Linked DNA regions of Pelodiscus sinensis. The protein of the gene in region 2 purifies or fractionates together with the protein of the main gene of each other region. This does not show direct contact. Links are inferred from orthologs where the notes say so. Each region holds a gene or a part of one and is shown on either strand. Other genes may lie near its edges.

The links.
Region 1: the proteins of SNRNP70 (region 2) and SNRPD1 purify together in Homo sapiens (affinity purification with mass spectrometry; 6 studies listed by BioGRID and IntAct, counting the BioPlex papers as one, with this or other methods). This does not show direct contact. The link is inferred for Pelodiscus sinensis from reciprocal best matches to the Homo sapiens genes SNRNP70 and SNRPD1.

The regions. Positions count from the first base shown.
Region 1 is NC_134712.1:178,735,572-178,743,464, reverse strand, and holds the start of SNRPD1 (small nuclear ribonucleoprotein Sm D1), read right to left. Parts: upstream 3,011-7,893; 5' UTR 2,805-3,010; coding exon 2,791-2,804; intron 353-2,790; coding exon 276-352; intron 1-275. Other genes in the region: SACM1L (phosphatidylinositol-3-phosphatase SAC1), read right to left, coding at 7,890-7,893. UniProt on the Homo sapiens protein: Plays a role in pre-mRNA splicing as a core component of the spliceosomal U1, U2, U4 and U5 small nuclear ribonucleoproteins (snRNPs), the building blocks of the spliceosome.
Region 2 is NW_027465870.1:61,240-68,243, reverse strand, and holds the start of SNRNP70 (U1 small nuclear ribonucleoprotein 70 kDa), read right to left. Parts: upstream 3,017-7,004; 5' UTR 2,863-3,016; intron 2,170-2,862; 5' UTR 2,157-2,169; coding exon 2,010-2,156; intron 1,849-2,009; coding exon 1,786-1,848; intron 1,269-1,785; coding exon 1,214-1,268; intron 1,058-1,213; coding exon 993-1,057; intron 898-992; coding exon 835-897; intron 94-834; coding exon 12-93; intron 1-11. Other genes in the region: KCNA7 (potassium voltage-gated channel subfamily A member 7), read left to right, coding at 6,501-7,004. UniProt on the Homo sapiens protein: Component of the spliceosomal U1 snRNP, which is essential for recognition of the pre-mRNA 5' splice-site and the subsequent assembly of the spliceosome. SNRNP70 binds to the loop I region of U1-snRNA.

The DNA.
Region 1 (7,893 bases), on a different chromosome or scaffold from region 2:
TTCTTTAAATTAAAGATACACGTACAGTCTAAACATTCACCGCAAAGGGAAAAAAAACCACACCCCTGAATAAGGAAAAACCCTAAAATGATGTTTCTTATGCTACTGCTTGTGAGGTGATTTTATTTGCCACCACATTTTTCACAGAATCCATCTCCTAAGACGACTCATTTAGCTATCACAGTGGAGTCTCTTTAGAAGAGAATGGATTTTCCTTTGTCTATCAATTCCTTAATTATTTTGGTTTTTAGTCTCCATCATCTTGAATTCCATACCTGTAATTGTTCCATGCACTTGTGTTCCATTCTTCAGTTCAATGGTCACGGTTTCATGACTCAATTTCATTAGAAACCTGAAAAATAAAAGTGAAGTTGAAAAGCAGAACTTCCATTCCCATATGACAATACAGTAATAATCAACTATATGGCTTTTCTGAAAATGTTTTGTAAAAGTCTTGTCTCATATCATCAGAACTTAGGAAAATGAGGTTCTACCACTTTCCTTAACTCACCTAGGCCCTGGCATATGCATTACAAACAATATGAAGTGATCTCAAACCTCATAATATTCCAAAAAAGGTAATTCTGTATGAACTCTGAGGAACTGCTACAACCAACCAAAAAAAGCCAGTGATGACTGTACACACCATTCCTAAGCATCCTGACTGGAAACTGTTCCAAAGAATCCACAAAGAGTTTAAGTACAATTCTGATACGCATTTGGCATCTAAGCATTATAATGCATTAATTCAGCAAAAAACATTTACTAGTTACCTGACAGTCATTTAAGACAAGCTTTGCTTTTTAACAAAATAAATACAGGAACTACAGTCATTGCTATGGGGCAAATAACCAAGTAAAGTATTCACAACCATAAAAAAGGAATATCAGATAGTGAAATCTAGGCTTTTGTGCACTTTTACCCTCTACTATACAGATTTAATTGGGGAGATCAGCATTTTTTAAACTGAGGGCCTTGACCCAAAACGGAGGTGCAGGGGAGTTATTTTGGGGGGAGGGGGAGAGGTGGTTGTGGTATTACCATCCTTAGTTCTGTGCTGCCTTCAGAGTTGGGCAGCTGAAAAGCAGCAGCTCCTTGCCAGGCACTCAGCTCTGAAGGCAGCACCCAGGCAGCAGAAGCACAGAAGTAAGGGTAGCAATACCATACCTTCCATCCTTAATTCTGCATCATTGCCTTCAGAGCTGGGCAGCTGGAGCATGGTAACTGATGACGGAGCGTCCAGCTCAACAGGCGGCAGCACACCCAATCATTCTTACCTCTGAGCTGCTGCTGGCAGTGATTCTGTCTTCAGAACTCAGCTCCCAGCCAGCAGCTGCTATCCTTCAGATGCCCAGCATTGAAGATAGTGCTGCCATTAGCAACGGCATAAAAGTAAGGATTGTAGTACCTTGAGTCCCCCATAACTCCTTTTTGAGTTGAATCCCTACATTTAGAATATAATGAAACTTCAGATTTCAATAGCTGAAATAATGAAATTTAAGATTTTTAAAATCCTATGATGCTGAAAGTATCCAAAATGGACTGTGAATTTGGTATGGCCCTAAATCACAGGGCTATAAGGGACACTGAGGGTCATCTCTTCTAACCCCTTGCCAAGAGGCAGGATTTGTTACATCTAAACCAACAAAAACAGCAGATGGCTATCCAGCCTTTTCAAAAGCCTCCTGTGAAGGAGCTTCAACAAATCTCCCTAAGCAATCTGTTCTAGTCCTACTGCTTTTATAGTTGGAACAACAATATTTAAACAGAAATAGGCTTACTTATCCCAGGAGCTGTTTTGTTAAAAAAAAAAAACGGTTTTACAAAACTGTCAATGGTAAAAGTATGTTCAATAACCCTAAATAACCCTTTTGTATTAAACAGTCATTGTAGCCCAAAAATCATTGCACTGTTTACCAATCCTAAAGTGAAAGTGACAATACAACAAACTAATCTATTTTCATTTGCACAAACTGAATGAAGTGCACGACATGAACAATACCGACACTGAAAAATGTAACTTTTAAGAATTGTTCAAGTTATTGTTTAGCAGGGACATATGGTGTTGGGAATAAGCGTTCTTTGTGGCCCAGCTAGGGACAAGGGAGTCCCAGTCTTGCTGAGTTTTAGCAACACTCCCCAAGAGGGGAGCCACACTTCCCCTTACTCCCCCGTCTCGCAGTTATCAGGGAGTAACTCTTCTGGCTAGTAGACACTTGTGTAACAATGAGAGTCGCATTTAAACAGGCGGGAAATGACCCTCCCCCCCATGGGGCAATGACACTTTCTTTTATCCATAACCAGGCTCATCCACGTGTGCGCGCGGGGCGAGGAAAGACTTAGGAGTCGCAACCAGCGAGCAAAGGGCGAAGGCACCGGCCGGGCAGGAGTCTCTGGCAGAGACTCGCCGCCCAGGGGCCACAGGCCGTAGTGGGGGGGGTGGAAGAAGTCACGTGCGTGATGTTAACAGTCACGTTCCTTACGGGGCCGTTGGGGACAGGAGCGGCCCGTGGGGAGGGGGCGGGTGGCAACGGCCACCTCGAGACAACTGCGCGCTCTAGGGGGAGGGGCTCCCGGAACCTGCACGGGGGGTGCACAGCTGCGCCCTGCTTCCACCCGCTGTGGAACGGGACGCCCGGCGCGAGGCGGGGGGGGGGGGAGAAGAGTGAGGTGCGCGCGAGCAGCCGGCGCGGCACGAGACGGCGGAAGGCCCAGGTTGCGGCCCAGCGCTCGCGCTCCTTTCCCGCCGCTGCCCGCCCCCGAATCCGCCTCCATCCGGGCCCATCTCACCTCACGAGCTTCATGGCGGCGGAGCGGGGGCGTCAGGCCGGCCGGGACCACAGAGCGGCAACCCGGGCACGGGGAGAAAGAAAAAAAAAATTGAGCTCGGGGCGGAGGCCTCGGACCAGGCCGCTCCGGCGCTCGGTGAATGAAACAGCGCTGGCGCGACTGAGCGTCGCGCGACTCAATAGCCGGAAGCGCCGCTCCTCGCGGCCGGATGTGCGTTAAGGCGAGGGGCGGGGGCCCTCGCCTCCCGCCTTGTGGGGGCCGGGCCAGCCCTGCTCCGCCGGCAGCGAGGGCCTGGCCAAAGGGCAGCGGCTTCAGCGCGGCCCCTCGGCTGTAGCGCACTCCCCCCGCGAGCGGCTCTGTCTCGCACCGGCGCGCTGGCTCAGGGACGGCAGGGGTCCTGCTTGCTTCCCTTCCCCCACGCGAAAGCAAACTGCGCAAAAGCCCAGTTTTGCCTCAAAAGTCAAGACGTTTAGGACAAGGCTGGGCTTAAAGAGGAGACTCTCGCAGCCAAAATGTGGACCCCTCCTACGCATCAATCAACTAGCAAAGGACATTGATTAAGTTTCCGTTATGGTACAGAGGAGTACGCGACACGCAGTGTTCAACAAATGCAAGGGATTGTGAACAACAGACATTTCTGCTTTAGTTGTATGCCTTTATTGAATGATTAGTACCCCCTCTCCACCAATATCAGTGCTGCTTTGGATTGGCAGTAGAGACTCAATGGCATTTTTTAAGGAAATACTTTGAACCAAAATTACCCTTTATGACATCAGATAAGCTGCTATCCTGCACTGGAGGGCTGAATACATTTCAGGACCACATTCACATTAATGTGTAGTAGTACTACCTATGGATTATGATATTTTTAATAGGGATGTTAGATATTTTAGTAATCATATAGTCACAACAATTTTTAATGGTTACCTGGTTATTAAAAATGTTTCTCCTGGGGCAGAGACTGACAGCCATTGCACTACCAGCTCCCCGCTTCACTCCTGGGGAAGCCCCCTGCCATCCCATGCTTCTGCCTCCATATCACAGGAAACAGTGTGGAGTGGCAGGCAGAGCTGGTCCACAGTAGAACTAGGTTTAAAAATCCCAAGCTTTCTGCCAATAGGATGTTCCAGCATTCTCTTCCCCTCCCCTCCCAAGTGCTGCCCATTTAAGCCAGCTCCTAGCATCAGCTTTTGCCTGCTCCCCACACTACTGGGGGGGGGGAAGGAGGAGGAGAAGGGAGCTGCATGGGAACCAGCATGCACAAGGAGCCATGTTAAAAGCCCACTCAAGGGTACTGGCTCCTGCCTACCTCTCCCCCAATAGAGGCAGGAAGGAAGGTGTGTGTTCCTTTGAATTAACCAATAAACCCAGGGGCTACGTCTACACTGGCCCCTTTTCCAAAAGGGGTATGCTAATTTTAAACTTCAGAATAGGGAAATCCACAGGGGATTTAAATATCCCCTGTGGGATTTAAATAAAGATGTCCACCGCTTTTTTCCGGCTTGTAGATAAGCCGGAAAAAAGCGTCTAGACTGGCCCGATCCTCCGAAATAAAGCCCTATTCCGGAGGATCTCTTATTCCTACTTCAAAGTCGGAATAAGAGATCCTCCGGAATAGGGCTTTATTCCGGAGGATCGGGCCAGTCTAGACGCTTTTTTCCGGCTTATCTACAAGCCGGAAAAAAGCGGCGGACATCTTTATTTAAATCCCCCGCGGATTTCCCTATTCTGAAGTTTAAAATTAGCATGCCCCTTTCGGAAAAGGGGCCAGTGTAGACGTAGCCAGGCTGTTAGTTTGTGTCTTGATATAAATGCACACTTGGTCTCTTAAATTTAAGGGTAGAGTCCTAGGTCTACCAAATGTTTTGATTCAGAGTTTAGAAATACCCTGATAGAGTATATTCATAAGAGTGCTTCTCCAGGAATCTTTTTTTAAGCAGGTTTCTGATAAAACATTGATTCCCTGGGAGTCTACCAATTCCTCTAATGCTGAGGATATAAAGAAAGAATTAAACCAAATATAGAAGGACCCATTGTAATACACTTGTACCTCTAATCTGGCAACCTTGGGAAAGAGAGTATGATGGATTAAGGAATTTTTGCAGACCACGGAAGAAGCTGGGAGGGTTATGGTAATGAGGCAGTTACCTGGCACCCCATTCCCAAGGGCACACATGACTATGCCCCGCCCACTCCTAGGCACCACCTGCTGCTATCACAGCAGTGGGGGAAAGCTTCTGGAGAAATGCTTTGGTGCATTGCTGATCCTCTCTCTCCCCCGAGGGAGAAAGACAATACAGCAATGTGCAGAGCCATCTTGCATTTGCGCAAGAGGTTTTTTTCCCAAATGGGAGAGTCATTGTATTTGCGGAAGGACACTGACAATCTTACATTAGATCGTCAGTGTTCTTGCGCAAATTCAAAACGGCCAGTGTAGACAGCTGGCAAGTTTTTCCACCAAAGCAATTGCTTTGGCGGAAAAACTTGCCAGTGTAGATGCAGCCCTCATGTATCTAACACTGAGCCAATAAAAAACAGTGCTGGTGGTCTAAGTTGGCCTTGTAAAGGGGTGGACAAAGAATTGAGTCAAGTAGGGAGTCTAACTTCAGGTGATAGAAATGTAGCCATGTTAGTCTGGTGTAGCTGAAACAAAAAACAGGACTATGTAGCACTTTAAAGACTAACAAGATGGTTTATTAGGTGATTAGCTTTCATGGGCCAGACCCACTTTCTCAGATCAAATAGTGGAAGAAAATTGTCACCATCTTTGGTATATATGGTTGTGACAATTTTCTTCTACTATTTGATCTGAGGAAGTGGGTCTGACCCACGAAAGCTCATCACCTAATAAACCATCTTGTTAGTCTTTAAAGTGCTACATAGTCCTGTTTTTTGTTTTAACTTCACGTGTTATTTTTAAACTTCTCCTGTGTCTCCCCAAATGCTTTGTTTTTCAGAAAGGTAAAGTTCATAGTTGGCAGAGGAAAATGGAACATATTTGCTAATTAAAATCTTATTTTTAAACTAATCCATTAAAAGTTTTAAGTATAAAAATAGAAGGCTTTAATTTTGTATTTACAGATTAACTGCTCAGAATGTACCTGATGATCAGCCATTTCCAAGAAATAATTTTTAAAGTTTGCATTTTTAAACCCATCAACTAAAATACAGGAACAACTGTCAGGATCTAGAAAAGATTAAAGTTTTATTGTAATTTATGAGTACATCATATGCAAACTTAGATACAGTACACAATCTCCTTGCAAAGCATTGGAATACAGATGCCCTTCCAAGTCTCAAAACCTACATTAATCTAGTTCTTGCTATGTGGTTATATTAGCTGTCCAGGTTTTGTCTTTGTTGCAGCAAACTCTTAACAGGAGATGCAAGGAAAGATTTAGATACACATAGTAAGACAGCTGGACTACATTTCAAAACATCACCTGCCAATGAGGCATACAAACCATTATTTAAATATTTAACTATAGAGTTCTTATACTTTCTTACCCATTACAGAGTTGATGTCTGAGATTAAGTTAGAAAGAATTTCTCAGTTAAACTGTCAACTGATATTTCCACTGTAGCATCTAAAAGCAACATGTACTTTGCATTTTTATTACTAGCACTTATGAACAGGTAATGTTTAACAAAACCAAAGAGGCCTTCAGAAACATTCAAGATTAAAATGAATTGTTATTGCAAAAAACTGTACATATTTTCAATCATAACACAATGAAACACTGATGATGCAGTGTTTTGTGTGCTAGGCCATTAATGACAACCGTGCTAACCCTAGTATTCTACTTTTTTTCCTAATATTTAATCTTCATAATTGCAATCTGAATATACAACTGTACTTACAGGAAATATTAAACAATGCACAGTGCCATAAGCAAATTTCATGTCTAGTTTAACAAATCATAAAAGTGACAAAATATTTTAAAATTGGTCCTTGATTCAGATTTTATGTAGATTTGGAAGCACTAAATTTAAGACACACATTTATTGATAATCAGCAAAAATATTCAGAGCTTAATTTTTTTAGTTTTATCATGCGTAAAAAGCAAGCTGCTGCCACTTCCCCTAAGTGCAAACATGGAATTTAGCAGAAGACTGTCATCCCAAAGATTTATATTCTTTCTTCCACAGGTAATCCCCACATAACCAAAAAGTAGATAATCAGGTGACTAAGAAAATAATATGAAGTGTATCTTCTACATTGTGACTGTTCTTTAAATATGGAATACTTTGGACCATTAGCATGAGGGTCAATAAACACAGTAGAGAAGTTTTACATTATTTGATTTCATTTACATCATAAAAAGCAACAATCTGACCTGAATCACACTTAAATTGCTATCTAACTGTAATAAAAAGTCATCTGGAGATTGCAGTAGTTTAGTGCAAAACACATTTGCAGCCTCAGAAGTGTCCACCAATAATTCATCCTCTCACCTTACAAATAGGTTAGTAGAATATTGCATCAATTGTAGATGAGACAGAAGACCTGAATTTTGATAGAAGCAATAAGGTATGATTCTCTACCCTAATTAAAGGATTTGTGCTAACAGTGACTGCCTGTATGATGGACAAATGAAACTCAGCTGTTAAGTCTAGAAATAAAACTTTGTATTACTAGGAATGCTATCTTACCTGAAAGAACATGATGTGAGTCTACATTACTAATACTACCACAGCTGGACATGTTGACACAAACTGAACCAGAGATCTTTGTTAAGATTATGAGATCACATGTTGAATGAAACTACCCTGCTAGGCTGTCAACTTAGAAGGCCAGTTTATATCCTATAATCTTCCAAAGATAGCCAAAATATCAGTGTTTTCACCTGCAAGTTATCTTGTTATGAGTGCAATCTCCCCAATTAATGCAATATTCCAAAGATCACTGTGACTAAGACTGTAAAACCACATCTCAACTGTGAATTCCCACCAGCTGAAGGACAAAATTCACTTTTTCTCTCCACGAAGAAGAAAGTTAGAAAGATCACTAACTAGTTGGTGTGGAAAGCAGGTCAGTAGAGACTCCAAGTATGGCTTGAGGAGTCCTCCATGCCAAGCCGCTTTCCACACACACAAATTCAG
Region 2 (7,004 bases):
GCGGTACTTACAGTGCATGTCTCGCTCGTGTTCGTACTCTATGAAGGCGTAGCCGCGTGGCTTCCCAGAACGCTTGCTGTACACCATGTAGATCTGGGGAGGGCAGGAAGCAAGTTACTGACCCAGAAACGGCTCCCCTGTGCCAACACACACTGCTTAGCCTCAGCTTCAGTTTGACACAAGCCACTGCCCCATAGCACCTTCTGTCATCTTAGTTAACACCTGGCACGCCAGCGGGAGGAGCTCAAGCACCAACTGGGGTGCAGGGCACACCAACTTCATTACAGCCTTTGGGGAGGAGTGGTCTAGAATGGGGGAGCCAGGAACACCCCCAAGGGCCCTGCCAACCAGACCGGGGAAGGATGGAGGGGACTTCCCATCCCCAAGCAAGCAAACAAGCCCCACAGCAAGGGCTTTGGGGTTCACCCCTGAGCAGGGACCTGTCCGGCGTCCCATCTCCAGGTGCAGCTGATCCCCACCGTAGCCCTGCAGGTACCTGGCCAAACCCCACGCACGAGAGTGCGTTACAGCCACTGTCTCAGCACTGAGCTGCCAGAGTCCAGGAGTCCACAGAGGCTACGACCCAAGGGATCTGCAGACTCCCAAGTCAAGGGGACCACCCACCCCACCCTAGCATTCATCTGTCCTGAAGACCCTGTCACTTCCCCAGGGCCAATCTGCTGCACTGGGAACAAGGGGGCTTTGTAAGTGGACTCTGTCTGCCAGGGTTTTCCCACCAGGGCCTGGCACGTCTCCCTGGGCACGACTCGGCCTGTGACCGACGGGCTACTTGAGGCTCATTGTAGGCAAGGCCTGTGGGCAGCAGCTTCTTACCCGCTTGATGGGGCCATAGACCTCGAATTCTCTTCTCAGCTTGGATTCTGTTGTGTCGTAGTTCTGTGGGGCAGAGCACAGGCTGAGATGGCTGCTACCAGGGTTGGGGAGAAGCAGGTGCCCGTGGATGGGGCGGTGGGCAGTTAGAAGGAACTTACCACTCTGGCTACGAAGAGGGTTTTGAAGGCATCTCCCTGGGCGTTGGGGTCATTGTGCGGGTCCCCTGGGGAGGGAGAGATCAGGAATAGGCACATGGAACGGATAGCAGGGAAACAAACTGCTGCCACCCTGAGCCCACGTTCACCCTCCCAGCTGCTGACTTGCCCCTGAGGTGGGAGTCAGAGCAACCCCCCCCCCCCGGACGGGACCCTCCACTCACACATCTTCAACTCGTTCTCCACCTCCTGCTGCCTCCGTTCAATCTTCTCTCGTCTCTGCAGGAAGGAAAAGGAAGGAGTGACAGGCCTGGACTCCACACAATGATGCTCCAGAGAGGGACCTCAGAAGGAAGGAATGACAGGACTGGACTCCACACAATGATGCTCCAGAGAGGGACCTCAGGATGGGACTCAAGGGGGGCTCTGAAGCCTTAGCCATGAGCACCCTTGAGACTCTCAAAGTGCTGCCGAATTCACTGCTTCCTCCTCGCTACTCGCCGCAGTGTTTTTCTCCCAATTCACAGGCTGGGACACCAGGCACTCCTCCCAAAGTCCTCACACGGAGTTAACAACAGAATGGCCAGGGAGAGGACCCAGAAGTCCTGGCTCCCAGCCCCAAGGTTCAATCACCAGACTATATAGGAGAAGGGATACCCAAGGGTGGCCAGAAGAGAACCTGGCAGCTCTGCCCTTCACCACACAGAGTGAAGCAGGTTATTTGTGGGGCGACCCAGATAACTCTCCCATGCCTTGGGAAGGGTGGGCTGACCCCTATGCTAGCAGGTGGCCATACCTTCCGCTCCATGCGCTCCTCACGGGTCTCGGCACGGGTGGGCGGAGGGGCATCGCGTGGGTCCTGGATGGGGGAGAATTATGTTAGCAGGGCATTGAGTGGGTGAGTGGCAGAGTTGGGCAGAAATGGAGGAGCCAGGAAGCTCTACAGTAGAGAAAGGGGGGTTGGAGGCAGCTAGCTCCTCCCCGCCCCATCAGCGCTGCCCTACTGGGGGGTGAGCTCACCTCAAACTCCCGGATGTACGGTGCGATGCCACAGTAGGGCTGGTTGTGGTGTTTCTCATGAGGCAGCTTCTCCAGTGGGGGCAGGTAGGGGATGGGGTCCCGGGGGGCAAAAAGCGCCAGTAGGTTGGGGGGCAGGAACTGCGTCATCTTGGGAGATCTGCTGGAGGAAAGAGAGGCCAGATCATTAGATCCCACAACAAACACACTCCCTCCAGCCACGTGTGTCCTCCCCCCCCCCCCGCCCCTGCCATAACCCAGCGGGCTTAGGGGCCAGCTAAACTCCTCATTTCCTGGGGTTTTGCTTCCCAGCTGCACCCCCCTCCCATCTCCTTCAGGAGAGCCAACGCCTCGGCAGCCCTGTCCGTCCTCTGCCCCCTCCCACTGCCCCCTGCTCCCCCCCCTCCCACTGCCCCCCGCCCCCTGCTCCCCCACTGCCCCCCTCCCACTGCCCCTCCCCCCTCCCACTGCCCCGCACCCCCTGCTCCCCCCTCCCCCTGCTCCCCCACTGCCCCTCCCCCTCCCACTGCCCCTCCCCCTCCCACTGCCCCCCGCCCCCTGCTCCCCCCCTCCCCCTGCTCCCCCACTGCCCCTCCCCCTCCCACTGCCCCCCGCCCCCCGCTGCCCCTCCCCCCTCCCACTGCTCCCCCACTTCCCCCCGCCCCCTCCCACTTCCCCCCGCCCCCTGCTCCCCCACTGCCCCTCCCCCCTCCCACTGCTCCCCCACTTCCCCCCGCCCCCTGCTCCCCCACTTCCCCCCGCCCAACTGGTCCCCCCGCCTCCTGCTCCCCCCAGTTCCCCCCCGGCCCCGCCTCCCACCCCGTGGTCCCCCCGCCCTCACCGACCCCCCCCTCACCGGCCGCGCCGCGCTCAGCTCTTCCCGCTGCCGCCTGCTCGGGGCCTGCTCCCTGCCCGCTCTGCGCATGCGTGTCCCTGTCACCGCGTCCGAATCCCTGCGCGGCCGGGACTCGCTCGGGGCGGGGCAAGGAGGCGCGAGGCCGCGCGCTGACGGAAGGGGCGGAGATGGAACTTGATCCCTCCGCAGCCGCAGGGAAAGTAGCGCCCGAACCCGGGCCAGGCAGACCATAATACTCGTCGCCGGCGGCGCTCTTGGCGCCGTGGTGTTGACCCCCGACCTGCGCCATAGCAACCAGGCCCTGACCCATGACGTATACCATGGCAACCGCACCCTGACTCCAACCCATGCCATAGCAACCGGGCCATGACCTTTGACCTGCACCTTAGCAACCAGATGCTGACATGTGACGTACACCGTGGCAACTGGATCATGACCCCTGACCTGCACCTTGGCAACCAGACTCTGACCCCTGACCTATGCCATAGCAACCAGGCCATGACCCCTGACCTGCACCTTGGTAACCAGACTCTGACCCCTGACCTATGCCATAGCAACCAGGCCATGACCCTGACCTGCACCTTGGTAACCGGACTCTGACCCCTGACCTATGCCATAGCAACCAGGCCATGACCCCTGACCTGCACCTTGGTAACCAGACTCTGACCCCTGACCTATGCCATAGCAACCAGGCCATGACCCCTGACCTGCACCTTGGCAACCAGACTCTGACCCCTGACCTATGCCATAGCAACTAGGCCATGACCCCTGACCTGCACCTTGGTAACCAGATTCTGACCCCTGACCTATGCCATAGCAACCAGGCCATGACCCCGACCTGTTATGGTACTGTATGTTTGACAACAGCCATTTGTACCATTGTTGTACCAAATTTTGTACAAAGTACCTGGCGTGGAGGTCAATGGAAAAGTTGAGTTGCAATCTGTCGGGTGTACTAATCCCGGTTAAATCCACGGCTCATGGCTGTAGCTGCCGATCTAACGATTGGCTACGTAATTGTAGCTAAACGTGTGCGTTGTTCCCAGATGCATTAACACCTGCGCCATAACAACGGGGCCACGACCCCTGACCTCCACCATAGCAACCGGGCCATGACCCCTGACCTCCACCATAGCAACCGGGCCACGACCCCCAATCTGTGCCATAGCAACCAGGACATGTCCCATAACCTATGCCATAGAAGCTGAGCCATGATCCCTGACCTGTACCATGGAACTGGGCCATAACCCCTGACCTGAATAGAAACCAGGCCATGACCCCTGACAGGACATGACATTCGACCTCCACCACAGCAACTGGTCCATGACCCCCAACATTCACCATGGCAACCAAGCTCAGGACCCCTGACCTACACCATAGCAGCCAGGGCATGACCCCCATCCAGCACCATAGCAACCGGGCCATGACCCCCAATTTACACCACATAAGGAGGCCATAACTGTGCCAGAACTTCACCCTAAGTTCCTCTGAACTTCACCTTCACTACCAGGCCATAACCCTCTGTGATGAAGTAGGGACTGTGGGGATTTTATACCCCTCATTATGTTGCATGTGATTCCTATTGGCTTGTAATAACCACCGTGTGCCTCAGTTTCCCTGGGCACCGCACCAATCCCTAGACAGGGATGGGAATTTCAGTGTGACAGCCTCCCCCACCTATACAATGGCTGACGCTTTGTGTTACCTGAGCTTGGGAAGGGGGGGGGGACCAGGTGACATCTTTTGCCCAGGAAGCAGGACAAAAGCCGTTGGCGGGGCTGGCTGCAGGACAGAGTCCATCTACTGGGTGTGTGGGTCAGTCTCAGCTGGCTTGGGGTGCAGGGTTGGGGGTCAGGGCCCTTGGCTCAGGGGCGCCCCTCCCCAAACTGGACTGTACTGACTGCTCCCGGTCCCTGTGCTGACAAGTCTGTGCTATGCTGTGTCCCTATCACCCCCTTCTGTTCTCCCTGCTGGCTGAGTCACATCTGGCTGCAGAGCCCGGTGACTCCCCCCCACACACCTTGGTGACATCCCTCATCTGATCACAACTGGGGTACGGAGCTTGATCCCAGCTGGGTTTGGGGTACAGCCCTTCAGGCCAGAGCCCGGTACGCCCCAGGCTTGGCACTGCAAGGTTACGGGGGGAGCCACATGCCCCGGGTCTAGAATCGCACATGGCTCTGCAGCAGAGATGCCCACAGCAGAGCAGCAGATGGCGCTGGTACCAGCCAGCCTTGGATAGAAACCTGCCAGCCAGGATGCCTGAGTTCACAGGGAGGGCAGTGGAGTCTAGCGGTTAGAGCATGGTGTATTGCTTACACCCAGGGAAGCTGGCACAGTGCCTATTGTGCAGGTAAAGTGCAAAAGCCACCCAACTGATGAATTAACCCCGTTTCTCACTCCCCCGCTAGTCTGGGCAGGTTAATGCCAGCCATTGGTAGGCGACTTGTGTCATATCCATTAACAGATTATTTTATTATTACAACAATTATCTCTTGATCCCTGATGCTTTGTTACTTCACAGCACCTGGGTGTGATTACCCTCTCTGCTTGTTAGGCTAGATTAATTAACCCCATCTTGGTTAATGAGAGTCTGTTAGAATAGAGAGAGACACACACACGCCCCGAAGGGAGGCATTTATCCCTTTGGCATTCACAGATCAGTTTTATGCTTGTTAATTAATCTCTGCATTTTATAGATGGTGGGAACAGAACCTGGCTGCCAGAACTCCCCCGCTCTAACCATTGCACCCCACCCTCTTCCAAAGCTGGGGAGAGACCCAAGCGTCCTAGCTCCCAGGCCCTCCCCTGACACCATCCCTAGAAGCTGTCTGCTCCCCTGTTATTTTTAGTGCCCTCGGAGCCGAAGGGGCAGCGGTGTGGAGGCGGGTGCTGGGGCTTGGCACAAGGGTGCTGGAAGTCAGAGCTGTCCTGAGAACACGACACCTCCCAGGCTGGGAACGTGTTTACAGCCAGTGATCCTGGCCCTTGGTATCAGGGGCGGACGGACGGATCAGCTGGAGGGGGGACAGGAGCAAAAGGGGCTCAGAGGGGTCCACAGAAGAGGGGCGCAGGGGAAATCTCAGAGCAGAAGAGAGGAGCGGAAAAGTGGTGAGAGGGAAAGGGTGTGTATGGGGGGCAGAGGTGTGGCGTGAATGGGGCAGCGACTCGGGGCCGGAGAAGGAGAGGGTACGCGCGGGGCGTGGGAAGGAAAGGGGGGAGCAAATCGAGGCCGAAGGAAGGGACACGGGCTGCATTCAAGAAGGGGGCAGCAAATCGGAGTGGGTACAGGCTGCATTTGGGAAGGGGAGGAGGCAATCGTGGCTGGAAGAGAAGGGAGAGCAGGCTGAGCGTGGAAAGAGAGAGCAAAGAAGAAGGCAGGGGCTACATTTGGGAAGGGAAGGAGGCACCCAGGGCCAGAGGAGGGGGTACGGGCTGTGGTCAGGAAGGGGAGGAGGGACTCGGCCCGGCGGAGTAGAGGCCACAGGGAGAGCGGATCGGGGCCGGAGGAGGTGGGAGCGCAGTGCAAAGGAGGGAACGAATCAGCAGAGGGCGGTGAGCGAGGCGGGGCACCCACGGTGGGGAGCACCCCTGTCGCGGCCCATGGCGTCTGCTGCCAGGCCCTGACCTCCCGGGCCATGGAGAAGCTGGCGTTGGCAGCTGGGGCGGCCGCCCCCTTCCCCCCGTGCCTGCGGCGGGACTGCTGCGAGCGGGTGGTGATCAACGTGGCGGGGCTGCGGTTCGAGACCCAGGCCAGGACCTTGCTCCGGTTCCCCAACACCCTGCTGGGCGACCCGCGGCGCCGGGTCCGCTACTTCGACCCGCTGCGGGGCGAGTTCTTCTTCGACCGCAACCGGCCCTGCTTCGACTCCATCCTCTACTACTACCAGTCGGGCGGGCGGCTCCGGCGCCCCGCCAACGTGCCCCTCGACGTCTTCCTGGAGGAGCTGAAGTTCTACCAGCTGGGCGAGGAGGCGCTCAGCAAGTTCCGGGAGGACGAGGGCTTTGCCCAGGAGGAGCAGCGCCCGCTGCCCAGGCAGGAGTTTCTCAAGCAGGTCTGGCTGCTCTTCGAGTACCCGGAGAGCTCGCAGGCCGCCCGCATCATCGCCATCATCTCTGTGCTGGTCATCCTCATCTCCATC